7 linked regions of the Canis lupus familiaris genome follow. The protein of the gene in region 1 purifies or fractionates together with the protein of each later gene. This does not show direct contact. Links are inferred from orthologs where the notes say so. Each region holds a gene or a part of one and is shown on either strand. Other genes may lie near its edges. The genes, in order: EZH2, FAM120A, RBBP4, PHF1, SMARCA5, SMARCA4 and TRIP12.

What was found.
Region 2: the proteins of EZH2 (region 1) and FAM120A purify together in Homo sapiens (affinity purification with mass spectrometry, with the first as the bait; 3 studies listed by BioGRID). This does not show direct contact. The link is inferred for Canis lupus familiaris from reciprocal best matches to the Homo sapiens genes EZH2 and FAM120A.
Region 3: the proteins of EZH2 (region 1) and RBBP4 purify together in Homo sapiens (affinity purification with mass spectrometry; 12 studies listed by BioGRID and IntAct, with this or other methods). This does not show direct contact. The link is inferred for Canis lupus familiaris from reciprocal best matches to the Homo sapiens genes EZH2 and RBBP4.
Region 4: the proteins of EZH2 (region 1) and PHF1 purify together in Homo sapiens (affinity purification with mass spectrometry; 15 studies listed by BioGRID and IntAct, with this or other methods). This does not show direct contact. The link is inferred for Canis lupus familiaris from reciprocal best matches to the Homo sapiens genes EZH2 and PHF1.
Region 5: the proteins of EZH2 (region 1) and SMARCA5 purify together in Homo sapiens (affinity purification with mass spectrometry, with the first as the bait; 3 studies listed by BioGRID). This does not show direct contact. The link is inferred for Canis lupus familiaris from reciprocal best matches to the Homo sapiens genes EZH2 and SMARCA5.
Region 6: the proteins of EZH2 (region 1) and SMARCA4 purify together in Homo sapiens (affinity purification with mass spectrometry; 4 studies listed by BioGRID, with this or other methods). This does not show direct contact. The link is inferred for Canis lupus familiaris from reciprocal best matches to the Homo sapiens genes EZH2 and SMARCA4.
Region 7: the proteins of EZH2 (region 1) and TRIP12 purify together in Homo sapiens (affinity purification with mass spectrometry; 3 studies listed by BioGRID, with this or other methods). This does not show direct contact. The link is inferred for Canis lupus familiaris from reciprocal best matches to the Homo sapiens genes EZH2 and TRIP12.

The regions. Positions count from the first base shown.
Region 1 is NC_049237.1:1,636,664-1,640,163, forward strand, and holds part of EZH2 (histone-lysine N-methyltransferase EZH2), read left to right. Parts: intron 1-669; coding exon 670-839; intron 840-1,206; coding exon 1,207-1,301; intron 1,302-2,533; coding exon 2,534-2,574; intron 2,575-2,946; coding exon 2,947-3,072; intron 3,073-3,500. UniProt on the Homo sapiens protein: Polycomb group (PcG) protein. Catalytic subunit of the PRC2/EED-EZH2 complex, which methylates 'Lys-9' (H3K9me) and 'Lys-27' (H3K27me) of histone H3, leading to transcriptional repression of the affected target gene.
Region 2 is NC_049222.1:98,994,421-98,997,920, reverse strand, and holds part of FAM120A (constitutive coactivator of PPAR-gamma-like protein 1), read left to right. Parts: intron 1-1,919; coding exon 1,920-2,061; intron 2,062-2,482; coding exon 2,483-2,579; intron 2,580-3,500. UniProt on the Homo sapiens protein: Component of the oxidative stress-induced survival signaling. May regulate the activation of SRC family protein kinases. May act as a scaffolding protein enabling SRC family protein kinases to phosphorylate and activate PI3-kinase.
Region 3 is NC_049223.1:68,051,763-68,056,019, forward strand, and holds the start of RBBP4 (histone-binding protein RBBP4), read right to left. Parts: upstream 2,801-4,257; 5' UTR 2,656-2,800; coding exon 2,640-2,655; intron 2,059-2,639; coding exon 1,911-2,058; intron 1,050-1,910; exon of another isoform or gene 889-1,049; intron 1-888. Other genes in the region: ZBTB8OS (protein archease), read left to right, coding at 3,405-3,537. UniProt on the Homo sapiens protein: Core histone-binding subunit that may target chromatin assembly factors, chromatin remodeling factors and histone deacetylases to their histone substrates in a manner that is regulated by nucleosomal DNA.
Region 4 is NC_049233.1:2,998,984-3,003,151, forward strand, and holds the start of PHF1 (PHD finger protein 1), read left to right. Parts: upstream 1-1,368; 5' UTR 1,369-1,497; intron 1,498-2,215; 5' UTR 2,216-2,234; coding exon 2,235-2,393; intron 2,394-2,485; coding exon 2,486-2,567; intron 2,568-2,675; coding exon 2,676-2,771; intron 2,772-3,201; coding exon 3,202-3,302; intron 3,303-3,395; coding exon 3,396-3,544; intron 3,545-3,744; coding exon 3,745-3,840; intron 3,841-4,017; coding exon 4,018-4,086; intron 4,087-4,168. Other genes in the region: kinesin-like protein KIFC1, read left to right, coding at 60-104. UniProt on the Homo sapiens protein: Polycomb group (PcG) that specifically binds histone H3 trimethylated at 'Lys-36' (H3K36me3) and recruits the PRC2 complex. Involved in DNA damage response and is recruited at double-strand breaks (DSBs).
Region 5 is NC_049236.1:43,050,807-43,054,306, forward strand, and holds part of SMARCA5 (SWI/SNF-related matrix-associated actin-dependent regulator of chromatin subfamily A member 5), read left to right. Parts: intron 1-698; coding exon 699-831; intron 832-3,500. UniProt on the Homo sapiens protein: ATPase that possesses intrinsic ATP-dependent nucleosome-remodeling activity.
Region 6 is NC_049241.1:50,658,908-50,663,195, reverse strand, and holds the start of SMARCA4 (transcription activator BRG1), read left to right. Parts: upstream 1-1,488; 5' UTR 1,489-1,521; coding exon 1,522-1,649; intron 1,650-4,288. UniProt on the Homo sapiens protein: ATPase involved in transcriptional activation and repression of select genes by chromatin remodeling (alteration of DNA-nucleosome topology).
Region 7 is NC_049246.1:42,284,206-42,287,705, forward strand, and holds part of TRIP12 (E3 ubiquitin-protein ligase TRIP12), read right to left. Parts: intron 3,202-3,500; coding exon 3,010-3,201; intron 1,734-3,009; coding exon 1,582-1,733; intron 108-1,581; coding exon 1-107. UniProt on the Homo sapiens protein: E3 ubiquitin-protein ligase involved in ubiquitin fusion degradation (UFD) pathway and regulation of DNA repair.

The sequences.
Region 1 (3,500 bases):
GCTCCCTGGGTTAGTGCTCGCTGTGAGGAGAGGGCCGAAGCCAGAGAACTCCCTCGGGGGTGTGGAGCTGCCTTCTGCCCTCACCCCGACCCCGCACTCCGACCCCAACCCCAGCCTGGCCTGTGCAGACCGCCTGCCCGGCTACTGGAAGGTCAGCGATGCGGTGTGTCGTCCTTCTCCGTCTCTCTGAGACAGGGCATCGTTCTGGTCAATCCTGTGGCTGTGCTGGGGGTGGTTTTGGTTAGAAGAGCCCGTGGGAACTCCCGACCAGTGTTTTGCTGCTGGGGTTTTCCATGTCCATTCAACCCACAACTCGCATCCTGAGTAGCAACGGGAGATACTCCTCAGCTTTCATTTTGATTTAAAATTTCTGTATTAAGTAAGCTTTACACCCAGCGTGAGGCTTGAATTCAGGACCCCGAGATCCAGGGTCACGTGCTGCCCTGACGAGCCCCCCGCCTGTGAGCCAGCCAGGCGCCCCCTCAGCATCTTAGAAGGTTGTGTCAAAGGGAACCAGCCCTGAGCTCCACGGGAGACTTGCAGATGGTTCCCGGCTGAGTTTATTCTCAGCACAAGTCGCTTCCTGCTCTTTTCTTCAGCACAGCCCTGAGGTTTACTTATTGACTCTAGTCGTCCTTTCTTGACCAGTGCTTCACTTTGGTTTTCCAGAAGCAAATTCTCGGTGTCAAACGCCAATAAAGATGAAGCCAAACATTGAGCCTCCCGAGAACGTGGAGTGGAGCGGCGCTGAGGCCTCCATGTTCCGGGTGCTCATCGGTACCTACTATGACAATTTCTGTGCCATTGCCAGGCTCATCGGGACCAAGACTTGTCGGCAGGTGAGCATGTCTGACACCGCAGTTTGAGAGCTTGAGATGGGGGATGAGCAGTCACTGTCCAAACAGACCGTTCTCGGTTCCTCTTGTGCTCCTGCTCATGTCCCGAAAAAGAAGTCAATTGGTGGTGTTTTCCACTGGGAGGGACCTGAATGAAAACGATTCTAACGACTATGGATATGTCGGGGTGAGTCTGCAGCCCAGTAGGGTCAGGTCAGCCTCGGGCGCCTACTGAGAGTGGCCCAGCCCCTGGTAGCACCCCCACCCCTGGCAGCACGGAGAGGCCAGAGAAGCTTCCAGCAGGGGCGGGTCTGGGGCGCTTTGCCGGAGCTGCCAGTGCTCACAGCCCTGTGACCACACCTCTTGTTAGGTGTATGAGTTCCGTGTCAAAGAATCGAGTATCATTGCTCCAGCCCCGGCCGAGGACGTGGACACCCCCCCAAGGAAGAAGAAGAGGAAACACCGGTAAGGCTGGGTGGGTGGCTTCTGCTGTGGGTTGGATGCCAGAGTCATGTGGCCGCACACGCTCGCTCGCCAGTCTGTTCCTCTGCCTGCAGTGGCCTGGGGTGCGGGGAGTCGGGACAGCGACGCTCACCGCGCTGCCCTTCAGTTCAGGGAACCTCTGCACTGGCTGCTGACCACAGGCCCCACCTGCACGAACCGAACCCGTGCCCTGCGTGCGGTGTTGAGGGTGATGGGAGCACCAAGCTGCTTGGAGTCCCAGGAGCCTGAATTTTCTTCATGCGAGTCACTTCTTTTTTTTTTTTTTTTAAGATTTATTTATTCACGAGAGACAGAGAGAGGCAGACACAGGCAGAGGGAGAAGGAGGCTCCTTGCAGGGAGTCTGATGTGGGACTCGATCCCGGGACTCCAGGATCAGGCCCTGAGCCAAAGGGAGATGCTCAACCACTGGGCCACCCGGGCGTCTGTTCTTGACAGATGCCCCGCTGACGCCCCTGGAAGTGGGGGCGCTGAGGGAGGAGGGAGCGCGGCCGCTTGGGTTTGTGTGAGGAGCTGCCCACCACACCGCCTGCCCCCCCACACCCGCGACTAGGGGTGCAGGACTGCACTCCGCAGCTGTGCACCCGCTCATGTCCCCTTTCTTTCGGGAGGTGGCTAATTTAGAACCGGAAGAACTTAGCTGTGGTAGGTCCAGCTGAGTTTCTTGGTTGAATTTTGATCATACAGCCTCTGTCAGTGGTTAAAGATGCCTGAATTAGAGAAACGGTACTATTTCAGGCTCCTCCCATCCCCAGGAGCCCAGGTTGGGGTGAGTCCTCCTCGTGGTCATAGCTGAGCCTCCAACACGGGGCCACTTAACATGGGTTTTCTGATACCGCAAATGTATTTTCTCAGGATTTTCTCAACAGTTTCTTCTCTCTGGCTTGCTTTATTGTAAGAACACAGTATAGAATACGTAGGACGTAGAAAATCCGTCCTAACCAGTCATCAGTAGGGCTTATGGGCCACAGGCTAGCAGTAGGTAAGTTCTGGGGAGTCAAAAGTTACTTGCAGATTTTGGGTGGCGGGAGGGGTCTGTGGCCCTAACCCGGCGGCCGGGGGCCGGCTGTCCTTGGATCCAAAGTGCGGTTATGTTCAGGGCACGCATTGACTTGCGCAGGCAGCTTCTGTTGGGTTTGTGCCGTGACCCGACTCCTTAGCCTCACAAGGATGGCTTCTGTTTTGTGTCTTGCAGGTTGTGGGCGGCACACTGCAGAAAGATACAGCTGAAAAAGGGTTAGCATCCTCCGTTCATAATTAACTTAAAAATGCCTGCTCATTTGTTTGAGAATAGTAACTGGATTAGCGTTTGGGATGTTCTGATGTAATTGACTTCAGTACCCGAAGCCCATTTAGAGGGAGGCTGTCTGCGGAGTAACTTCCGGGTGGGTGGCGCGGGGTGGCCAGTCAGTTACGGAAGTGTTTGGGGGCCGGGGTGACAGTGCTCTGGCCTTGGCCGGCACTTGGGGGTGGGAGGTGGCGTCTCCAGTCACTCGGAACAAACAGTGTGGAGGACGTGCCGCAGCCCGCAGGTGGCGGGGAAGGCCGGATTCGCGGGCGTCGTGTTCCCTCGCCTCTGGATTGACCCGCGCTGCTCTCCTTCCGCAGACGGCTCCTCTAACCACGTTTACAACTATCAACCCTGTGACCATCCACGGCAGCCTTGTGACAGTTCGTGCCCTTGTGTGATAGCACAAAATTTTTGTGAGAAGTTTTGTCAATGTAGCTCAGAGTGTAAGTATTTCGTTTTGATGACTTGTGTGAGTTCCTGTTTTATTTATTTATTTATTTATTTTTGAGTTCCTGTTTTAAATTGCTGACCAAAAGCCTGTGGAAGCCAAAACAAGGCCATGGCAGCTCTTGCTTTGTTGTATCCTTTTTAGGAAACGCATTTACCCCACAGGGATTTATGGGGCCCCATTAAGGGGTTGTGTGCTAGGGGCCTGCGCGGGTCTGTGGGCAGGTTAGAACTGGATCATGGAAGTTAAGTCATAGTAGAGTTGGCACAGAACGTGGAGGGCATCTGGAGGTGGCCCCCAGGTCCTCTGGCCCCCAGAAAGCGTCAGCGCAGTGGGGCGTGAGCATAGTGCCATGAGCGGGTACTGAGGGCACAGCTGCGTGGATACCGAGGAAGCGTCTAGAGCTCTGCGCCCTTGGGATGG
Region 2 (3,500 bases), on another chromosome or scaffold:
CTCCGCTGTCCCAGCCCAGCACCACATCCTTGCTGCTAGGCCCGCTCCTGGCCCCGTCCCCCCCCACCCCCACCCCAGCTCTCTGCCTTCCAGGGGGCCTCTGGGTGTCCACGCGGCCCCATGTGCCCAGCCCCAGCGTCGCCTCCTGTGGTGGAACAGGCTGCAGACGGTGCTCATGGGCGGCTGCTCCCCGACAAGAGGATGAGCTGGTATAGAAGGTTCTGAGGCCGTGGCAGGATTCCTGGCACAGAAACTGCCCACAGACCACTTCATGGGAAAGATTTTTAAAGAAAGCTCTAATACCATGTAGATAAATGGGTTTATTTTAAACTTCTTTTTGCTTCTCCTCTTGTATGTGTTAGCCTCACGAGGGAGAAAAAAGGCTTAATGTTTACTTCTGAAATAACGTCTTGTGATTTTCTGTAATTAGAGGGTGTGATTTGTAACCTGTCATATGTCCCGTACTTTGGGGCTGCGGAGTGAGACCCGGCCACCCACCCAGGTACAGGGCTCTCCACATACATGTGTGAGCAACGTTAGGACAGGACAGTCTTTCTCTCCTGCCCAGGAATGTATTTGCGGCTCAGCTCCTTGGGGGAGCAGGAAAGACTCGCAGGCCAACGCAGCCCCCGCTGCAGGGCCTCTGGGGCCAGGTCTCCCCTCACCAGCCCCGCATGCCCTTCCCTGCCTCCTACCGGTGCTTTCCTTCCTGCCACGCCACACAGTGTGCAGTTCGCGCTCTGCTTCACCGTCGGCTTCAGCTCCCTGCACCCGTGTGGACGCTCACATCAGCGTGCCCTTGGGATGATGCTCTGGGTGGGCTGGTGGCTGTGGACGCTGTGGGGCAGAAGTAGTTTCTTAGACTGAAATGGCAAAGAGGATCCTGCTACATAACTTCCCCCATCTTGTGTCTGAAGCTCAGCTGTCCTGGGGACTGACCGGCAGACACCTTAGCTTAGCTCTGGAGCACTCGGCCTGTGCCTGCCTCAGCAGAGCTGAGCCCCAAACACAAAACACACATCCAGTTGTAGACCAAACATGGAAAAAAAGACCACAAAGTATCTAACTAATAGTTTTTATATTAAGCTTATGTTGAAATGATACTATTTTGGGTCTGTTGGGTCAAATAAAACATATTACCAAAACCTGTTTCATCTGTTTTCATAGTTTTCAGCGTGGCGTTTAGGAACGTGAGGCTTATCATAGGTCTCATTGGGCAGTGAACTGTCCTGATGGAGAGTTTATTATAATCCACTCCCATCTGCCAAGAGATAAGAAACTTGAGGTTCTCTTCTGTTTGGTTTTTATCAGAAGTGTTCCTAGCAGTTAATTATTTGAGAATTTTCTTCGTTAAGTCAGAAGACCTTAGAAAACGCAGGCGGTCCATAGCTAGCAGAAGTCAGTGAATACAGTGGGTATGTGTGACCCCAAGAGAGGGGATAATTAAACAGCACACGGAGAAATACCAGCCACGTTGACCGGTTGATTTGTATGATGCGTGGTGGAGGCAGGAGGCCTGGAAGCAGTTCCCCAAGGAGAAAATGTGCTGAGTTTGCCAGCGTCCACTGTGATGTTGGAGACGGCTCACCGCGAGCATCCGGTGGCAACACCTCGTGGAACCTTTTTCAGTCTAAAAGCTGTGCATTTGTAATGTGTCGTTTCAGTCGTTATAGGTCCTTTGAGAAGCCAGCACAACTGTTTCACTCTCAGGTGTACTTTTAACAGCACTTAAAACCATTGAAATCAAATGAGGTGCACATAGATACTTTACGTGATAAATAAAGAGTCTTCACAAAACCAGGGAGAGGGGTTTTATATGAAATACAGGCCACAATTGAGCAGAAATTGGCTTGCTTGTTTCATTTTGCTATTTTTAATTCCGTGATTGTCAAGATTTGTTCTGTTTTTTTTTTGTGCAGGAATCCAACCTATACCTTCTCAGGGAGGGAAGCTTGAAATCGCGGGCACCGTGGTCGGCCACTGGGCTGGGAGCAGACGGGGCCGCGGGGGCCGCGGGCCTTTCCCCCTACAGGTAGTTTCTGTTGGAGGACCAGCAAGAGGGTACGTTCTGAAAATGTACTTGTGTTAATAAGAAAACCACCCCTTGTTCTTTCAATTCTGACTCTCTCAATTCTGACTCATTAGATACATTTCTTTGATGTTCTTTTGGTTACATAGGATTCCATAATATGTGGCATTATGATTTATTTCAACCATTGTTAAATAACTATCCACACTTTATTCAATTAACCATTTTTCAATACTTAAAAAAAAGTAGCAATTTTTTGAAGCATTTTGGCTTAAGAATTGAATGACTGGATGTGGGCCCCAAAATAAGATCAATTTCTCAGAATGTTGGAATAAATCCCATGTGACTGATTTGATAGACCAGTGCTACTGTGTGAGATCGATATGGTTTTAAATGTCTCAGCTGCCTGGGCAGATTCAAGCCTGTGTGTCCTGTCCCCTTCTCTCCACTCAGGCGTCCAAGGGGAGTGATTTCTACCCCAGTGATCAGAACGTTTGGAAGAGGTGGACGGTACTACGGCAGAGGCTATAAAAACCAGGGTGTGATTCAGGTAACGTGCAATGTGGGGCAGTGCCGCGCATCCGAGGGATTGGTCTGTGGGGCTGGTGGCTTGAGGTCCTGGCCAGCTCCTCAGCCCAGGTGGACCGGCAGCGTCAGTGCTAAAGAGTGTGGTCTAGTCACAGCTGCACGGGGTGGCCCCACGACTGCTAGTGGTATTTATATTACAAAACGTTATTTAGAGAAATAGTTAGGATTTAAGAAGAAAAGTGCCGTCTTTTTTTCCTCCTGGACCGTCTTGACCAGCTCTTCCCCGAAGGCTCAGCCTATAGGGACAGCGCCGAGTACCTTCTGCATGGGAGAGCTAGAGTTTCCTCCCCCTTTGGATCTACCATGTTAGGACCTGGGGCCTGATGAACTTCCCCTGAGAAGGATCTTTAAAGAATGCCAGTCGGCCCACTTCTACAGTTAGGACGTTTAATCAGTCTGCATTTCCACCCCCACTGTGCAAACATCAGGCCTCTTTTGTGTCTCACGCACTGATAACCCACACACGGAGATGTAATCGGCCAGGAGAAACTGAGCTGCCTGCCTCTCTAAGCTGAACTCAGCATCTTAGAAACTTGTTTGTAAGATTTATTTTATTTGACTTGAGAGAGAGTTGTGGGGGGGTAGGGTGGGCAGAGGGAGAGGGGATCCTGACATGGGGCTTGACCCCACAGCCCTGAGTTCATGACCTGAGCAGAAACCCAGAGTCGGATGGACACTCCACCACCGGCTATACCCCCAGGTGCCCCGGAAACCTTTGCTTTGATGAAATACACCTAATAAGTGAGGTGCAAAGGCAGCCCCCTCCCTAGAAGCGGGGCCTGACAGCCCATCTGCAGTGCAGCACCACTTGGGCTAGGGGCTGTGCTCGGCTCACTGTGGTCCCCCAGCCCACCCTGACCGGCTTCTGCCTTCAGAGACACAC
Region 3 (4,257 bases), on another chromosome or scaffold:
AGCCACCCAGGGATCCCCCCTGCCACCAGTTTCTAAATGATTTGACTATCACTGAGAACTCCTGACAGAAATGACTCCACTTAACCTGAACTCAAATAAAATAAATATATTTTCTTAAAAAAAAGAAAGAGTGCAAGTGAGTGCAAGCCCAAGGGAGTAGAGTGTGTGGGGAGGGGTAGAAGAAGTCTTCTGTACAGAGTGACAGGCTCGATCTCCTGACCCTGAGACCACCACCTGAGCTGAAACCAAGAGTCAGCCACTTAACAGACTGCCACCCAGGCTCCTCGAGCTCAAGCAATTCTGATGACCCATAGGTGAACATGGATCATGATAAAGCTTCCAACTCTACTTCTTCATTTTTTAATGCCACTGTGAAGGTAGCAACCTGTTTAAGTAATTAATAAAATTTCTATTACTTGTTGAGCTGAAACATAGCCTAATAACCATATTTTGAACTCGAAAGAGATGAATTTCGAAGGAATTTAGTTATTCAGCACACAATATAATTTTTAAATGTTACTCTGAATGGTGAAGCAATTTTATAAAAGAAAACCCATTATTCCAACAGGCACTTTGGTCTTGATAAACCTTTAATTATTTAAATTCACCTTCATCTTTGCATTGTCACTTTCTCCTGGAAGCCTTTCATGATACCCTAAGTTGAGGTGATTTTTCCTTCCCTTGATCATTTTAACTGTGCTACTCTTATGATACTTTTTACTGTAATACAGTAGAAAACCCCCATCCATGGTTTCAGTTACCCACAGTCAACCACGATGCCCTCCAGAAGTAGATGATCTCCCTTCTGATTTATCAGGTAAATAAGTAGCTTAATACTTCATCACAATGCCCATGTCATTCACCTCACTTCATCACACAGGCATTTTCTCAACAATATTACTTGAAGGGTGATTACAGTGAAACATTTTGACAGCAAGAGATCACACTCAGCTTTTATTATGGTATGTTGTTATAACCATTGTTTTATTAGCAATAATCGTGCCTCGGATAAACCTCATTGGCTACGATACTGCCCCCTGCACAAAGCTATATAACCATTGTTCTATTAATCTTTTACCGTTTCTAATTTATAAATTAAGCTTTATCACAATTATGTATGTTCAGAAACATAACAGAGTTCAGTACCATCCGTGGTTTCAGACACCCACTGGGGATCTTTGGCCATACTCCCTACAAATAAGGGGGGTGGTAATCTACCATACTATATACACAAGAAATCAAGGCAGGGAAGGTGTCCATCTAAACTTGTACACCCTAATTTATAGCACCTAGCAGACTAAACAAATGGAAAGTAAATTAAGTACTATTAAGCTTACCTTCTTAGAGGTAAGCTTGTCACATTTAAGACCTTCCCTACATGTGATTTCTCTCTCACTATGCATAATTCCCTTATATAAAACCCCCAAACCACCCCATCTTCAGTTCTTAGTTCTAAATATCCTAAGTATCTCTGTAAAACTGCTTTTAGCATAGGTTACTGTAATTATTAGTTTACATGGGCCTCAATTACACTTGTGCTCCTTGAAGGCAGGTACCATGTCATATACCTCTTTATATTAACCAGCTACTACCTACAATTCAAATATTTTGCTGAAAGAACTGAAATCATAGCTTTTTTTGAAAACTGACACATTTTACATTATTTTCCAACTGTAATTATAACAGGCTATTCAATTCGTTATCAGGAAAAGAAAACAAGTTTTCTCTTATCAGGTACATTGCAAAACTATTTTTACATTTTGTATTATTTTTTGGCCTAGGAAAAAAACATCACCCATAGGTTATCATTACGTGCCCTCTTCGGGTGACTGGGGGAAGACACGGAAAAATCAACGTGAGAAATCAACGCTGAGGAGGACACAAGATAACGTTCAAGAGATTCACATCACCTGGTTACATCTGGAAGCCACTGTGCAGTTAGGCTAGGCCACTCCAGAGCATGGGTCATCACCAAATCGTAAAGAAAAGGGGTGTTCTTTTTCCATATTTTGTACTCTTCGTTGATCACACGTTCCTCTACTGCGTCATCAAAGGCTGCTAAAAAGTTAAAAAACAAATTAAGTTAGCGAACACAAATGGAAACCGAGCCAACGCTTCCAAAGCTACCGGCACTGCTTATTAAGTCAAGATTCTGAAATGGAGCAGATATGTCTAAATGTCCCCGAGGCGGAGCGACCTGCACCCCTCCCCGCCTCGCGGGCCCGCAATTACTCTCGGGCTAGCGGGGCGCGTCACTCCCGTTAGCTGTTCGGGCGCCGGCGCCGGGCCTCGGGAGCACGCTCGCGTTCCCGCTGAATCGACGGAACCCGCGCGGAGGCCCGCGCACCGGCCCCCGGGGTAGGGAGCAGCGCACGCAGAACGCGAGAGGCGGGCAGGCCGACAGCGAGCGCGGGGAGGGCCCAAACACCCGCCGGGGCCCCCCCACCAGCTCCACACCGCGGCCACCGGCCTCCGTGTCGGAGGAACTGGCGCGCCGTTAGCCCGCCCGCGGGGCGATTTCTCCTCACGCCTTCGATGGTGGGGACAGCACTCAAGAGTCGGGCTTGCCTTCACTGCTAGGCCCTGTCGAGGCCGCGGCGCCAGCCCGGCACCCCCCGCCCTCCCGGGGCGGCCCTTACCTTCCTTGTCGGCCATGGCGGGCAGGCGAGCCGGGGGGATCCCGGGGTCGAGCGCTGCGGGAGGGGCGGGGAGGCTACAGGCGCTCGCTCTGCGCGCGCGGCCTCTATTGTTTCCTGCTGCCCCTGCGTGAGGGCCTACTCGCGCACCTTCGCGCCAACACCGGCCAATCGCAGCGTCCCGAACGGCGGGGTGGGCGGGGAAGCCGCGTTTGCAGCCTATCCAGACGCGCAGAGTCGCTTTCTGCGGTGCCGAGGTGCGCGCCCCTCCCCTGCCCCGACACGGCCGGGAGCCGACTTCCTACGATTGCGCGCGCGCGGACCCGGTGGGAGTGCGCGCGTCGGGTCACGTGAGAGGTTTAGTCCGCACTCTCCAGGGGGCAGCCATTTTCTTAAAAGCTGTGCAGCTCCCGACACTTTAAAAGTACTCAGATGAGAAATCTAGGGTGGCTTCGGGTGTAGTTATCGACTCTGTGAGGTAAAAAGAAAAGGCTTCTCACCACCCAGACAAGCGGGTATTTAGTTCTAAAGTGTCTCCCTCCTCCCACGTCCTCCAGTGTGTATGTTTCCTTTGTTCTTAGAACGGATGAAGAAACGCAGAAATAGGGCCGAAGCCTATTAAAGATGTGCTTCCGGCAGCGAGTCCTAGGACAGAAGTGTTAACCATATAAAGTCTATCTGCGAGAATGGGGTCCTGGTGCTTTAAGGGCGCGTGCCAAGGGGCGGAGTCTAGAGCGGAAGTTGTAAATCAGGGCTGAAGTCCAGCTAATGAAGGGCGGAAGTAGAGTGTCCAGTGCGGCAATTATGGCGCAGGAAGAGGAAGATATTCGAGATTACAATTTGACTGAAGAGCAGAAGGCGATCAAGGCCAAGTATCCTCCAGCCATTCGGAAGTACGAGTGTGAGTAGATGGCTCACTTCTCTCATGCCCTTTCGCCTTGCCCAGGTCTTCCGGTCTCGCCTTCCGCTTTGCCCCTGAGGTGCTTCAGCCGGGAGTGCTGAAGGGAACAGCCACCTGGCCTGAGAGTCAGAAAACTGGGCTGCCACTTTTATGGTTCCTTGAATTCTTTCTACATTTACCTAGTCCCATTACCTCGTGGGAATTTTACCAGTGTCTTCATTCTAAAGATAAACGTATTTTCAAGCATTTGCCGGGTGGTCGCCCGTATGTGTTTCCCAACAGTGGGGTGGTTAGAGTATCATTAGGTTAGAGGACTTAGCTGAGTAGGGGACATGTAATTTGGTGTTTTACCTGGATCGTGCTTTTAGTAAAAAGACCTGGTTTGGGGATGCCTGGGTGGCTCAGCGGTTGGGCGTCTGCCTTCAACCCAGGGCGTGATCCCGGGATTCGGGATTAAGCCCCGCCTCCGGCTCCTGCGAGGAGTCGCTTCTCTTCTGTGTCTCTCGTGAAGAAATAAATAAAATCTTTAAAAAAAAAAAAAAAAAAAAAAAGACCTGGTTTTGCCATGAACAGCTTCATAACTTGTGGCAAGTTATATAATCTCTCATGGCACCATAGTTCCTTAACTGGGGAGTAAATGAGATAATAGTAAACACAAAAGTATAGTACATATTCTGATCTTCTATTTAAACATTTAGCTATCATCCCTAAAGATTGCTA
Region 4 (4,168 bases), on another chromosome or scaffold:
AGAAAACTGTTATTTTGGTTACTCACAAAATATTTTTATTCTAAAACCTCTGCCCGCAGGTGAACCAGTGTGTTATTGGTACGGCCCAGGCTAACAGGAAATGAAGACAGATCCAGATCCTCTGTTTGGGAAGGGGGGGTGGGGGTGGCGCTGAAGGATGCTTTGTTGGGGGGAGGGGCGCTCTGTGACCTGGGTCTATCAAATAAAGAACAAGTTTTTTTTCTTTAAATAAAGGTTTTGTTAACAATGGCCCGTATCTGTAAAAATGGGAACTGTGGATCGTCTACTCTGCCGAGTATTTGTGTTTTGCAGAGCAAGGGTTTCAGCTTTTCTCTACCTGGCTATCTCCTGGAGACTAGATGGTTACCCTGGTTGTCCGCCTCTAGGAGATGTGCCCACTGGCCGACCGCCGTCACTGGTTTGCCGCAGGCCACCCAGCTCCACGCGGAGAGCTCGTCTGGTGGGTGCGGGAAAGTGGAAGCCCGAGTCCAGAGGCCGGGCCAGCGAGCCCTCCTGCAAACTGCGGGCTCTCCCTCCCGCTCTTTCCTTGCCGTCCCATTCGAAGAACTGGGGCCGGCCCGCCCGCTGCCCATTGGCTGGCTCTCGGCGGCGTTACCGCCTCGCTACTAGCTCTCCCGGTCCGTGTACCCGCCCTACAGGCGCTGGGTGGGCTGCACGCCCGCTGACTCGCTCGCGCCAACCGCCAACGGCCACCGCCCGGCAAAGGAGGGGCTCGGTCCACCCAGGTGCCGCGCGCGGGAGGGGTCACGCATGCGCAGAAGCGCGGCGGCGGTGTGGCGGGGGGAGACTTACCACGGGGAGGGCGGGGCCGGGGCAAAGGCGGGAGGAAGGCGGGGCACTCGAGGGAGGAGGGCGTGGCGGGGGCGACGGGACGGGTGAATGGGGGGCGGGGTCGTGAACTGGGGCCGAGGGGCGGGACTTGGAGTGACCATGGAGGTTGGGGGGGCAGTTAACGGATGTGGCATGGGGCGGGGGCCAGGCTGGAGACCAGCTGCGGGGAAGGGGGGGATTCCCTGCTGCCCCGAGGGCGGATCTCCCTCCGAGGAAGGGGCTGCAGGGATTCCCTCTCGCACTGGGTCTTGACTTTCCACCCGCCCCAGCCGTGGGGAGGCCGCCACCCGTTCGGCGCCCTCCAGGCCCGTTGGAGGTGAGGGAGGTGGGGTGAGGTGGTGCCCGCCCCCCCCCCGGCTCCTCCTTCCCCTCAGTCCTCCCCTCCCACTACCCTCCCCCCGAGCCGGTTTGTCCCTCCCCTCCCCTCCCCTCCTTCCCCCCGCCGCCTCCTCCTGCCGCTGCCGCTGCTTTGGCTGCTGCGTCATACGCCCCAGAGCTGCCGGGACGGAGGGGCTGGGCCTGGGGACCCCCCGGCCCTTGCCTGCCCGCCCTCCGACGCCCAGACGTGCCCTCCCCGCGCGGGGGGTTCGCCTCGGTCTCCCACGTCTGCCTCTGCCCGGCTCCCGGCGGCCCCAGCTGTCACTGGTAAGGAGGCGGCGGGAGGCGCCCGTGGGGGGGGGCAGGGAGCCGGGGGTCGGCGCGCAGGGCGCGGGCGGGAGAGCCTCGCCGCCCAGGCATCAGCTCGCGCTGGGCTGACTCAAGTCCCCTCTCGGACTCGCTGTCCTGGGGAGTAGAGACCGGGACTGGGACACGCCCCCCTCCCAGGGCACTCAAGGAAGTTATCTAACCCGGGGGACAGGGAGCCCCGTATTTGAGGGTGACCTGCCATAACCTGGCATCGGGATTATTGTTCTGGAGACACAGGGGCCCGGGGAGGCAGCCGTTTCTAATTTGGAAAACATTTCCAGAAAAGCTCCCAAAACACATTCTCTGGGTAGCAGAACACCCCAATTACAGTATCTCTAAACAGAAGGTGACAGTAGAAACTGAATGGTAACCTTTGCTTCTGCAACCATCATTCCTCCTAAAATCTCAAGGCCAGGATACAGTATCCCAGGGGAGCTCTGGAAGCTGGGAAACTAGAGAACTAGGTTGGGGGGTGGGGGGTGTTAGGGAGAGGAGAGCCAGTCACCAGAGTTGGAAAAGCTGGAGTCATGAAGCTTGGGAGGGGTGCTGTGTGATTTCCTATCCAGGTATTTCATATTTGGAGACTGGTAGCACAGCTGCTTGAGTCCTTGAGGCATAGAAAAATGGGGACAGTTTCTCAACATTCATAACCTTCTCCCATCCCACTTCTGGATAGCCCCCCCCCCCAGGATGCAATGGCACAGCCCCCCCGGCTGAGCCGCTCTGGTGCCCCCCCACTTTGGGACCCAGCCTCCCCTGCTCCCACCTCAGGCCCCAGGCCTCGACTTTGGGAGGGTCAAGATGTGCTGGCCAGGTGGACGGATGGACTGCTATACTTGGGGACCATCAAGAAAGTAAGACCTTTGACTTCTGACTTATTACCTTCCCCCCATTCTCCTTATGTAGTTCCGATTCCTGTTTCATCTCCTGTGCTCATCCATTCCAGGTGGACAGTTCCCGGGAGGTGTGTCTGGTCCAGTTTGAGGACGATTCCCAGTTTCTGGTTCTATGGAAAGACATTAGCCCTGGTGAGACCTTAGAGGCCCAAATATATGCATGCTGTGGAAAGCAGAAACCTGGCTTGGGGGATGTAAAGGGGGCTTAAGGACAGGCCCCACAACACTGTTCCCTCACAGCTGCCCTCCCCGGGGAGGAACTCCTCTGCTGTGTCTGTCGCTCTGAGACTGTGGTCCCTGGAAACCGGCTGGTCAGCTGTGAGAAGTGTCGCCACGGTGAGAGGGCAGGATACCTAAATGGTCTAGCTTGCCCTGAACCTTCCAGGCTGCCTCTAAGTCTTCCCTCCACCACTGATCCTTAGGCCACCTGTCCTGGCTGAGTCCCCAAGCCACTGCTCTGGCCAGTCTGCTCAACTCTGTAACCTCTCTTCCAGCACAGGGAGAAATAGCCATGGAATCAGGAGGTGTGGGCTTTGTAGACAGAGGATGGTTCAAATACACCTTTACTAACCATAAAACCTTGGGCAAATTCCCAAGCCCCTAGGAGCCTGTCTCCTCACCTGTAAAATAAGGGTAACTTATCTACTGCAGCCAGATCACAGTCAAAGATGAAATGAGGTGGCCCAGACTCCTCCTATCCCAGTCACTAGCACACACAGGTATATTGTGCAATAAATGGTCTACCATCAATATTATCATTATTCAGCTTATCACCAGGACTGCCACGTTCCAAGAGCCCCAGCCCCTGGAGAGGGAGAGGGCACATCCTGGGTCTGTCGCCAGTGTGTCTTTGCCATTGCCACCAAGGTAAGGTCACCATTCTGTGGGAGCCTCCCCCACCACCTCTCCCAAGCCTTCCTGTTCCCTACCCGTCTGAGGTGGCCTGTTTCCTCCCTGCAGAGGGGGGGTGCACTGAAGAAGGGCCCCTATGCCCGGGCCATGCTGGGCATGAAGCTGTCACTGCCATATGGACTAAAGGGGCTAGACTGGGACGCTGGACATCTGAGCAACCGACAGCAGAGCTACTGTTACTGTGGTGGCCCTGGGGAGTGAGTAAATGAGGGACAGGGGTGGAGGAGTGGTGGGGAGGGAATGAATGATGGAGTGGGTGGGGGGATCCTGGGGAATGAAGGAGAAAAAATAGGATGAAGGGAGTGCTGAAGAAAGCAGAAGTAGGTGGTGAGTAGGGTTTGGGGCCATTCAGGTCGGGGCAGTGTCTGGAGGTCACCAGTCCTGTGTTCCCTCTCAGGTGGAACCTGAAAATGTTGCAGTGCCAGAGCTGCCTGCAGTGGTTCCATGAGGCCTGCACCCAGTGTCTGAGCAAGCCGCTCCTCTACGGGGACAGGTGAGATGGGGCTGGCTCTCTGGGAGCCAAGGGAGAATACTCTTGCCCTGCTCTACCCTCTCAGGCCCCCATGCTGCTTCAGCTCCATGTCTCCCCAGCCTCTGAAGCTCACCTCCCCTACGCACCCCATCCTTATTCATAAGTCCTCCACGCTCTCTCCCCCTCGCCCACTTCCAGGTTCTACGAGTTCGAATGCTGTGTGTGTCGGGGTGGCCCTGAGAAGGTCAGGAGGCTACAGCTTCGCTGGTGAGTGGGCACCACCTCCACATGGCTCCTCTCTCAGCACCCCCAGCCTCCCACCTTGGGCTCTCCAGGCTTTTGTATTGAC
Region 5 (3,500 bases), on another chromosome or scaffold:
AGAAGTTAAACGGAATTCAAATTAATTTGACTACTTGTATGTAGTTATTTGAAAACTAGGATTTTTATATTGTTTGTGGAGTTCTTTTTTCATGTTACTTCTTTCCCTAATAGCAATGAAGTTTGATGTATGATTTAGGTGGGAAAACAATTTGAATTTAAAACTAAGAAAAAAAGATTTAAACAATTTTTTATCATCCACCTTAAAATTTATAATTTTATCTGTCTTATCTGGAGATGTGTGAATTTTATTTATTATTTATTTACTTTTAAGATTTTATTTATTTGAGAGAGAGTAGGGGGAGGAGCAGAGGAAGAGGGAGGGACAAGCCAACTCCATGCCAAGTGTGGAGGCTGACTTGGGGCTTGATCTCACAAACCTGGCATCATGACCTGAGCCAAAATCAAGAGTTGGATGCTCAGCGGATTGAGCCACCGAGGCACTCTTAGAAACCTGTGACTTCTATATCAGTATAACCTAGAAGTTTTCCTTGTGAAATAATCAATTAATTTGATTGAAACAGAGAAGCTGCAAGGATCTGAGAAATATTAATCTAATAAAAATCTATTTTTAGAATAGTTTTGTTACATTAAAAACTTTCACACCTGAGAATATTTTAGTTTTCCGTTTTGGTATACACAATCAAGTATTATTTGTGTAATTTTTAACTATTCAAAATAACATGGTAATTTGCCTAGGACCGAGCACATAGAATTGGACAAACCAAGACAGTCAGAGTGTTCCGCTTCATAACTGATAACACTGTGGAAGAAAGAATAGTGGAACGTGCTGAGATGAAACTCAGACTGGATTCAATAGTCATTCAACAAGGTGAGTCTTAGAATTGTAAAAAAAAATTACCAAGTTGTATTGACAAATGTTTTTTTCCTAGATTTTCTGGAGGTTCTTATTATTGACCATCTGTGGGATCAAGCTAGCGGCATGAACAATATTTATATTCCAGAAAATAGTAAGCTTTAGTTTTTCATAAGAGGATGGGTTTAGGCTGAGGAAGATTGAGGTTTGCATTTGGCTTTGCCAGTTAGGTCTTTTATAAACCTTTTGAGCCTATTTCCTCATCTGTTAAATGGGAATAAAGGGAATTGAAGTTCAGGATTTTTAAGGATTAAAGGGGATAATGTATATAAAATACCCAGCATTCAGTGTGGTACATACTAAATATAGCTGTGGTAAGTATCATTTATATGTACTGAAAAGCACTCTGTTAATTATTCTGGGGTAAAATGAAGACATAAAGATGAAACTCAAAGAATCTGATGTTATATTTTGTTTTCTAGTCTACACCTGTTTACTTAACAGCACCAGGTTCCAGGCATTGATTGGTCTTAGTGCTGAGAATAAAATGGCGAAAGAATGCAATGCATGTGTCCCTACTTTCATGGAGTTAATTTGTAATTTAGTGAGAGGGATGCTCAGAATAAATGTTTATGTAAATAGGACTAGAGCTTGAGAGTGGGATTTTATTTTGGGTTGATTGAAGGGAACTAAATTCTCATGCCAGATTAGCTTTTAAGGAAGACATTTATGTTTTCATGAAGCTTTATTATAATAAGGTTGGTGATGGGGTGTAAAGTATTTATTAAAGTATAAATAAAGTATTTATTCCAGTAAAATGGAAAAATAGAAAAAAAACCCTTCAATTACCTCAGGGTCATATAGGTTTCTTTCATTCTCAAATTTGCATTTTGAGCATGTTCTTTTATCTGTCTATAAAGAGAGACTGTTAATATTGTTTGCTGATGATTCCATATTGTGTGTCTTCATTTTGTGAACTGCCTTTTAATTTCTGTGTAAAGGAATGTTGCATTTCTTTTATATCCTCTTAATGCCAACCATAGTGTTAATCACACCTCTGAATATGTGAAGACAATAAATGATGGCTTATTATTAGTTTTATTAATAATTATTTATTAAGTGCTTACTTTGTGCCATGCAAGGTGCTAAATACTTTGTATCCATTATCTCATTTAGTCTTCATGCAATTTTGAGGTTGGCATAAGAAGTAGAGGCAAGTCACTTATATACCATTCATGTAACTAAGAAGTGACTTATCTAGGACCAAGAAGTATATTAACTATTAGAGTGAAGTGTTTACATGCGAAAGTCTTTGGAACTTGCCAAACAGTAAGGTTTCTCCTGGATAATGTAATGGCGAGTTCTTCTCCCTCTCATATTCATCCATGTTTTTAGAAAAACACCGGCCTTATAGTATTTTTAATTATTTTTATCTGTGAAACATTTTTGAAAAATGAAAATTATAATCAACTTAGAAAAACTAAGTTTTTTTACTTAGGTTTTTGGTTTTATTGGGGGTACAAATTTTGTATATGTGCTGCTGAAGTGAGCATGGGGGTGGGGCTTAAATTTTAGAGCAAAATTTTGTGCTAATAGCTCTGTAGGCATTAGTCAAAGAGCAAGCCTCAGGTGTATCTCTTTGTATTACTGTCTTGCAGAGTAAGAGATGTAATTAAAAATAATGAGAAATCATAGAACTGCTTTCTGTCTGACCAGCTCCCCCTCTGTCCAATGGGGAAGTAGTTTCAGTAAGACAGACCATTTTGTTAGTAGTGAGGTAGCTTTCAAATCAAGAAACATGTTCTGTAGATACATCCTAACTTTGAAATTCATAGATGTTGGTGGATTCTGTTAGGGATGCAAAGCTGTGATACACAAGCATTTAAGATCCAAGAGAACAATTTGATCTTTATCCATACTCCTTTATTACAAGTTGATTGGAATACAAAAAGTGAAGCTTTGTGTAAGTGAAAATATTTCTTGATATTTTTGTTTTTGATGCTTGTGTTTTCGAAAACACAAATTATAGGGTTGACCTATAATTCCTACCAATTGAAGATCTTAGTTTTCTTATGTTTAAATTTCTTCTGTGATCAAAATAAGCTTTGAAGAGTTTCAGTTCTTTAGATTAGGAAATTTAATTTATTTAGTCCCTAGATAAAGTTTGGCAATATGAAGGTTTTTTTTTTTTTTTTTTTTTTTTTTTTTTACACGTTACCTTTTTTCCCCCACTTCACTTTTCGAAGAAAAAGCTGATTGGGGAGTACTAGTATTAATGTCTTTCTGCTTATCAGAACTTCTTGTGATTATGATTTGATCTCTTGATATTTAAAAAAAAAACTTGCTAATTGTGATTTTCAAATATTCCAGCATGATACTATTCAGCCCATATAAGAATACTTTTTATTGGGCAGCCCCGGTGGTGCAGCGGTTTGGCGCCGCCTGCAGCCTGGGGTGTGATCCTGGAGACCCGGGATCGAGTCCCACGTCGGGCTTCCTGCATGGAGCCTGCTTCTCCCTCTGCCTGTGTCTCTGCCTCTCTCTCGTTCTCTCTGAATGAATGAATAAATAAAATCTTTTTTTTTAAAAAAAGAATACTTTTTATTGAGATATGGTATGCAGTAGGTTTCATTATGTAATGATGGATTAACAGGATATTTCAAAGTTTACAACTAAGAGTGGCA
Region 6 (4,288 bases), on another chromosome or scaffold:
TCCCAGTGCTAGAAATGATACAGTAGACCCCCTTATTGGTGGAGGACACAGAACCCCAGTGGATGCCTGAAACCATGGATAGTACTGAACCCTATCTGTACTGTTTTTCCTATACATACATGCTTATGGTAAAATTTAATTTATAAATGCACAGAAGAGATTAGCAGTATGAACATTAATGTGAGGAAACTTCATTTAATAGAATCAGGAGGACAGAAGGAGGAGCACTCAAACCCCACTGCTTGTTATCAGTTGTAGACCCAATAGAAAAAGACCTGTCTTTCAAGTCACCTTGCAGGTCATAGTACTTTACTATCCCAGCTGAGGAGGAAAGGCTTTTCTTTTCTTTCTTTCTTTCTTTTTTTTTTTTTTTTGGAAAGGCTTTTCTTCTGCCCCAGCAACAGCCCAGCCAATGAAACACTACTGCACTTAAAACTCCCTATTTACTCCAGTGGGCTGCTTTTTTTTTTTTTTTAAGATTTTATTTTATTTTATTTTATTTTTAATTTTTATTTATTTATGATAGTTACAGAGAGAGAGAGAGGCAGAGACACAGGCAGAGGGAGAAGCAGGCTCCATGCACCGGGAGCCCGATGTGGGATTCGATCCCGGGTCTCCAGAATCGCGCCCTGGGCCAAAGGCAGGCGCCAAACCGCTGCGCCACCCAGGGATCCCCTTTTTTTTAAGATTTTATTTATTTATTCATAAGAGACCGAAAGAGGGGCAGAGACATAGGCAGAGGGAGAAGCCAGCTCCCCATAGGGAGCCGGATATGGGACTCGATCCCAGGGCCCCGGGATCAGACCTGAGCTAAAGGCAGTCGCTCAACCAGTGAGCCACCTAGGTGCCCCAGTGGACTTCTTGTTCATAACAGCCCTTCTGACTTCCCCCTTTCCTTCCAGAAAAGAGCATTCTTTGTTCTCCAGACTTGCCTGTGGTTTTGCCATAGCTTACTTGTCCTGGATTGTAGTTCTCTGCTCCTCCTGAATGAACACATTTTTGTAGGTAAATTAACCAACAGTTTTATTTTTCAGGTTAACAACTTATAATAAAATGGAACACTTATGACAATATAATGTATTAATGTGGCGAATGTGCTCTTTGTCTTTGAGAAGACCTTATTGTACTGTACTCGCCCTGCTTATGATGATATGAGATGATAAAATGCCAATGTGATGAAATGAAGTAAGTGACATATGCGTTGTGACGTAGTGTTAAGCTACTGTTGGTTTTCTGGCAAAATGCAGTGGGAGGATCATCTGCTTGCGGACCAGGGCTGACTGGGTAACTGAAACTGGAAAGCGAAACCTGCATTGGGGGGTGGGGGGGGTGGACTACTGTACTTGGTGACAGAGGACTTCACATGTCTACATTTTAGGTAGAGCGGATAAGACACTATAATTATCATGACGGGTTTTTTTGTTTGTTTGTTTGGTTGGTTCTGAAGTGTATTCCTTTTTAAATGTAGGACAAGGTTTTGCTACTTAATTATATCTGCAAGGAAAATGCTCAGCAGCCAGCATGCAACAGCTAGTGTTGGGGAAGCACTCAGGAATAAGCTATTTCCGTATGTTACCTAAGACAACAGATGCCTCATCCTGTACGCTCTTCCAGGTTCACAGACCATGTGCCTCTCACCATCAGGTCAGGTGTGGACAGTTTTCCTACTACAGTGTTGGGGAGAAACCTTGTTTTGTAGTTTTATATTTAAAAAAAATTTTTTTTAAAGATTTTATTTATTAGAGGGGGGGGGAAGAGGCAGAGGGATAGGGAGAAGCAGACTCCCTGCTAAGCAGGGAGCTGGACACAGGGCTCCATCCCAGTTCCTGGGATCATGATTGGAGCCAAAGACAGACACCTAACCAACTGAGCCACCTGGGCACCCCTTGTTTTGTAGTTTTTTTTTTTTTTTTTTTTTTTTAAGATTTTATTTATTTATTCAAGAGAGACCGAGAGAGGCAGAGAAACAGGCAGAGGGAGAGGCTCTCTCTCCCCACAGGGAGCCTGACGTGGGATTCCATCCTAGGACCCTGGGATCACGACCTCAGCCAAAGGCAGATGCTCAACCACTGACCCACCCAGGTGTCCCTTGTTTTGTAGTTTTTTTGTTTGTTTGTTTTGTAGTTTTAATGTGACAAATAAGACTGCTTTTGCTGAAGGCATCATGCCCAGCCTCCATGATCAGCCTAAGTACCCTGCCATGGCTGGGCCATGGTGTGTCTGCCAATGAAAATACATAGGGGAACAAAGTTCTCCATGCCCAAAAAGCATGGGGCCAAATTTAAGTATAATGCTGGTTTTCAGGCAAGATAGGAAAAAAACAAATGCAATCATAATCTCAGCAAGCAGATTTTAGAGGGTCCCAATTTAGTGTTAGCAGTCTGTCCTGCTTCGGTGGCTGACCACCACCATTCTTTTTATTTTCACTTTATTTTATTTTTTCTTTATTTTTTCAATTTTAGTTCCACTATAGTTAACATATAGTGTTATATTGGTTTTAGGTGTTCAATATGGGGATTTAACAGTTCTATCCATTATCTCAGTGCTCATCGTGGTTAAGTGGAGTCTTTAATCACCATCACCTATTCCACCCATCCTTCACATCCCTCCCCTCTGGTAACCACCAGTTCTCTAAAGTTAATGAGTCTGTTTTTTGGGTTGTCCCCCTTTTTTTTCTTTGTTCATTTGTTTTGTTTCTTAAATTCCACATGCGATCAGATGGTATTTGTCTTTCTCTGACTTATTTCATTTAGCATCATATTCTAGATCCATCCATCTTGTGACTTCTGTTCTTTTTTGTAAGAGAAAAGCAAAGGTTGGTGTGAAGGAAGAAACTAGATGTACTCCTTAAGCAGTCTGGTTCCGCATTTGAATGTCGATAGATGTTTCTATTTTAAATGATAATTTTGATGAAGTTGAAAGTAGACAGAAAATAATGCAATTCTCAAATTCTTTCATCTTTTTTTTATTTCCACAAAGGTACTTCCCAGACATCTTTTCTGGGTTTTTATTTCTAAGGTATTTTTCTGATCTAGTCTGGTTTGTTTGTTTGTTTGTTTGTTTTTAAACTATGATTACAAAAGTAATAGGTTATTGTAAAAAAATAAACACACGAAAAACACCAGAGATCTGTGATGTGGAAAGTGTCAGTTCCCCATCATTTACCTCCTGACAGCTGCTGGCCACTGCCAACCAGGGTTTGGCAAGTTTTCTTTGGGCTGGCTTCTGTGTTCAGCTGAACCTGCATAATGTCTTATTCTTAGCAAAGTGGGGTTTGGGCCAACCACACCTTACACTGATGCCTCTTTCTTTCCTCTGTTTCATCTTGGATCTTCTTCCACATTCGTGTGCATGAAGCTCCCTCATTTTTAAATAGTGTTCTGCTTCTGGGACATAGATTGTGTGAGGGTTTTGACTGCTCGGCAATTGGGATGATTCTCAGAGAAATCAAGGTGATGTGGCCATGTTACCTCAAGACCCATTGGCCCTGGGGACCTGTTTTCCTCTTGCAGCTTGCTGGATGTCTTAGCTTTCAGGTTTTTGATTCTTGACCCAAAGCAGTTTTACTTCCCATCACATTCCTTTGGGCTGCCTACCTGGATTTCCAGGCTCCATTCCCTCCTTTAGAGCCCCCCAAACACACGTGATCCATGGGCCACATATTCCTTGATTAGGCTTCCAGATATACGTGTAGAGTTTTCATTGTTTTGTCCCTCTGTCCCCTTGTCCTTACTTTTCTCATCTGCTTAGGTGTGGCTGTCTGGTTTAAGATGGATTTCAGTTTTGTGCTTAATTATCTTCTTTTTCCCAGCCCAGACACCAAGTGACTTGTCACAGAAGGACTTGTAGGAGTCCAGTCTGAACAATGAAAGCCCCCTGAAACTCCCAAGACCATGGGATGACCTTGGGGGCCCAAGGAATTTGCTGAAAATTTAAAATCCTTAGTTTACTAAGTAGGAAAGGTAGAGGTATTTGGTGAGGAGGAAAGAAGGGGGTTGAGGAGAAGGCTGTTCCTTGCTCTCAGATCTCACTTCACTTCTGAAATTTCTGGCCAAGCTTGTCAGGCCCTCCTGAGTAGGCAACTCGCTAGAGTACAGTAGTGCCAGGTCCCATACACTCCCCAGTTCTCAGGAGGTGCAGGCCCACCCCTGTCCTTTAAGGACGGTTGATTGGCCAAAAGGAGTTTGAGGCTGGGTGAGAACACCATGTTTGTGGCGGTGGGATCTAAGAGGCAGAGGATAATTTGTAGCAGCTCAGATCCTGACCACTGATTGCCAGGGTGGACCTC
Region 7 (3,500 bases), on another chromosome or scaffold:
CCTTCCACTGCTTCACATTTGCACAGTCTGGATGTCTTTGTAACTGGCATTTTAACTGGTGTGTGTTGAAAAATTTTAAAGCCTGTGATCCTCTGTTGAGAGAAAAGCTCAAGATAATTTGTGAAAAAAAGTTATTCTATTATTTTCAAAATCAACATAATTAATTCAAACCAAAGCTAGACACTACAAATTGCATTTTATAAAGGCAAAAAATAAGCACTTACCAGTTATGTAAAAAGCCAGCAATTTGAGTTAGCGAAAGTTGTTATAAAGAAATAAAAAGGGTGTGCATGCATGCATATGTAAACATTAAATCATCATTTGATCTCTGTCATGAGAAATCCCTGTGAGCAGAAATCCTTGACCACCAAGATTTAACTATTTCTCCAGAATAAAAGTTCCTCAACCATTTGAGCATGCTTACTTATACAGTATTTTGCCATTGCCTAACTGAATTCTATGGCTTTAAAAACAAAGGGAAAAGCCCTGTTTTTTGCGTTCAAACATCTCTGCTATAGAATTACTTTAAAAACAAACGTTTAAAATTTACTTTGCTAAAAAAAAAAATAAAATAAAATTTACTTTGCTATATTCTTTTGAATGAAGCCAGTCTAAACCTGGTAATATTTAATTGCTCATTTCTGTAAAGGGCTGACAACAGTTAAGACACACACAGACAAGCTTAAAAAGCAGTTATCTGTAAGACTCCATAAGGCATGCAAATAGGGGTATGGGAAAGAATATTCCATTAGACAGGATATAGATATATGTAAACCTACATTATTTTATACAAATCTGGGTAAAAATGAAAAACCTCATTGTTTTCTCAGGCATAGATGAAAATGGCCCCAATATTTCAAAAAATATTCCAGGACAGTATAATGATCAAAATTGAAAACCACATTCCATATTAATTTTCAAAGGCAGAAAAAACTCTAGCCCACATAGATCTCTTTATCTGTCCAAAAATGCATATTGTTTTAATAAAATGTTTTCAAAACATCATATTGTGTATTTTAAAACCAAACTAATTTCTTGTTTTTATAGGCTCCTAGTCATAATTTTCCAGAAACCTTGTAACATCAAGTAAAATACAATAATAAACTATTACAGTGAATTCTTTCCATAAGGCTTAAGTTCGGTAAAACTGTGATATTACGGAAAATATACAAAGTTTTAATGAAACAAGAAAAGTTCATATTCAACACTTATTTGTTAAAACCCTTCAAAGGTAGAACCACTTACATCACATAGAAAAATCACAGTATTGCACAGAACGCAATTTTATTATCCAGATCAACAAAATTCACGGAGAGAAGAAATAGACATTAAAATTTATCAGTTTTAGGAACACTAAGGTCTATCACAGGTTGCCAACATAGCCGCTGGGATAGGTATTTCCAGAACATTAAGTTCAGAACATGGGGAGTGCTTTTAAAAATAAAAAGTCCTTTTCTTCAGTCATCATGACCAAATGGTCTTTGGGCAGATGAAGAGGTTACTAGACCTCTTGCCACTCTACATCAATAAAATTATCCCCACACTCCGATGGCAAGGGCACGCCCAGGCAGGGATCCTTACCTGCCTCCTGTCCCGTTCCCACTGGGGAAGTCATGTACTTTGACTGGAAACTGTTCCATCTGGCTGAGGCAGTTGTTCATCTTGTGAACTAATGCCAACAAAGGCGCATTACCCACTGGTTCTACTCTTCCAATGGGCTCTTCTCCAGGAAGCTAAAGTTATAAATAAACCAACAGGTTAAGCAAGGCCTATTGAAAATGGAACACTCCTCAACAAGAAAATTTAACAGGCAATTTTACAAAAGAGAGCCATTCATCTATTCTCTTTTATCTTTTTTGATAGATTTGGTTGGAATGATTATTTCCATATAAATTACTTCAGAGAGAGACTCTTTGTAGAGGTCCACAATCCCTTATTCGGAATTCCTCAATCTAAAAGGCTTGAAAACACAACATATTTAGTGGTGAGACCTGACTCCAAGAGACCTGAGGCCATCTGCAGTCTGTATCTTTCCTGAGCAGAAATATTCATATGCTTTGCTGCAAAAATATTTAACGAGTATAGAGTGCTACTTAGAATCCACTGGGAATATCAGGTAATATATATGTACTGTATTATAGAACTTTTGAAACCTATTGCCCCAAGGAGTTTCAGTTAAGAGATTACAGACCTGTACAGAATCCTAAACATGGTATAAAACTATATCCAGTATTGCTGCACATTTCATGCACTGCAAACAAATATCAAATCTGCTTTAGGTAGCCAAGTTAAAACAATGAAAGAAGTGCTCAAATACCTACAAACCTGAAAGGCCAGGCGAAAGGTTTCACTAGCATGCAGAAGAATCAGCCTTAGCCTTACTACACAGAGGATCCTGAGTATGCCTTCTCTCAAGTAGTTTTGTAACAAGTAGAATGATGTAAAGTCACTAATATCCAAGAGTAGTTACATTCTTGCTCTCACCCACTGAGGCTGAAGGAAGGGGAGTCTCTGAGCCTTCTGGTGTTCCAATCCAGAGTATAAATGGTGATTGAGTACTCTCAAATAGAACTGTTAATGCTGTATTTTATATGCAAAATGGAGAAGTATATACCCATGCTATTTTATACCTATAGCTATGTTTACCATATCTCCCTATACGTACATATTGTGAACTACAACATATTTAAAAACAAATACTGAGAATAAAATACATTCACAAGTGAAAGGCTATTAATGGCTGGTCTTAAAGAGAAAAGACTCAAGACACGCTAACCATGGAAACTGTGGCACCTGTGCCATTAAATCACCATTCCATTGCTTTACTAATATACTTGATATTAAAACAACAACAACAAATAAAAAACACCAAGGAATCCAACTGTATCACAAGCTAGAAATCTGAAGTATCCTGACTAGCATCTAATTGAAATTACTGTGATGAAAATACACACATCAGTGACCAATGATTTCTTTAAGGTGATATAGGAGCATTATGAAGTAACTTACTGGTGAAGAAAAAAATACGTGAAGGAATCTCTTTAATCTGATCTCTCGGCTCACAGCATCCTTTTCACTTTTAGATGTCAAATAAAGTAACAGCTGCTTCACAAATCCACTATGTTGGATTTCAAATGATGAAACATCAGACTCTGAGACTATGCTACGGATTTCTACAAGGCACTCAGCTCCACCATCCACCTGAAAGAGTTGGGAACGGTTTTTCCATATTGATTTAAACAGTCCTAACTAAATGTGGAGTTCACATTTCCTCAAAAAAGAATACATTTTGAACATCTTTAAAACAAAACAAAAGAAAATGAAGAGAAGGCGGAGGGAGTGATGCATTCTTGGTGGATCCTTGGAAACTATGATCTTACATATATAATCACAAAATGTTAGTATTTCATGGAAGAAAAACAGCTTGCATACCGCTAACATAAAAAAGAACTCTCACATTCAACCAACAGTAAATAAATAAAGACGACAAAGAATGAGAA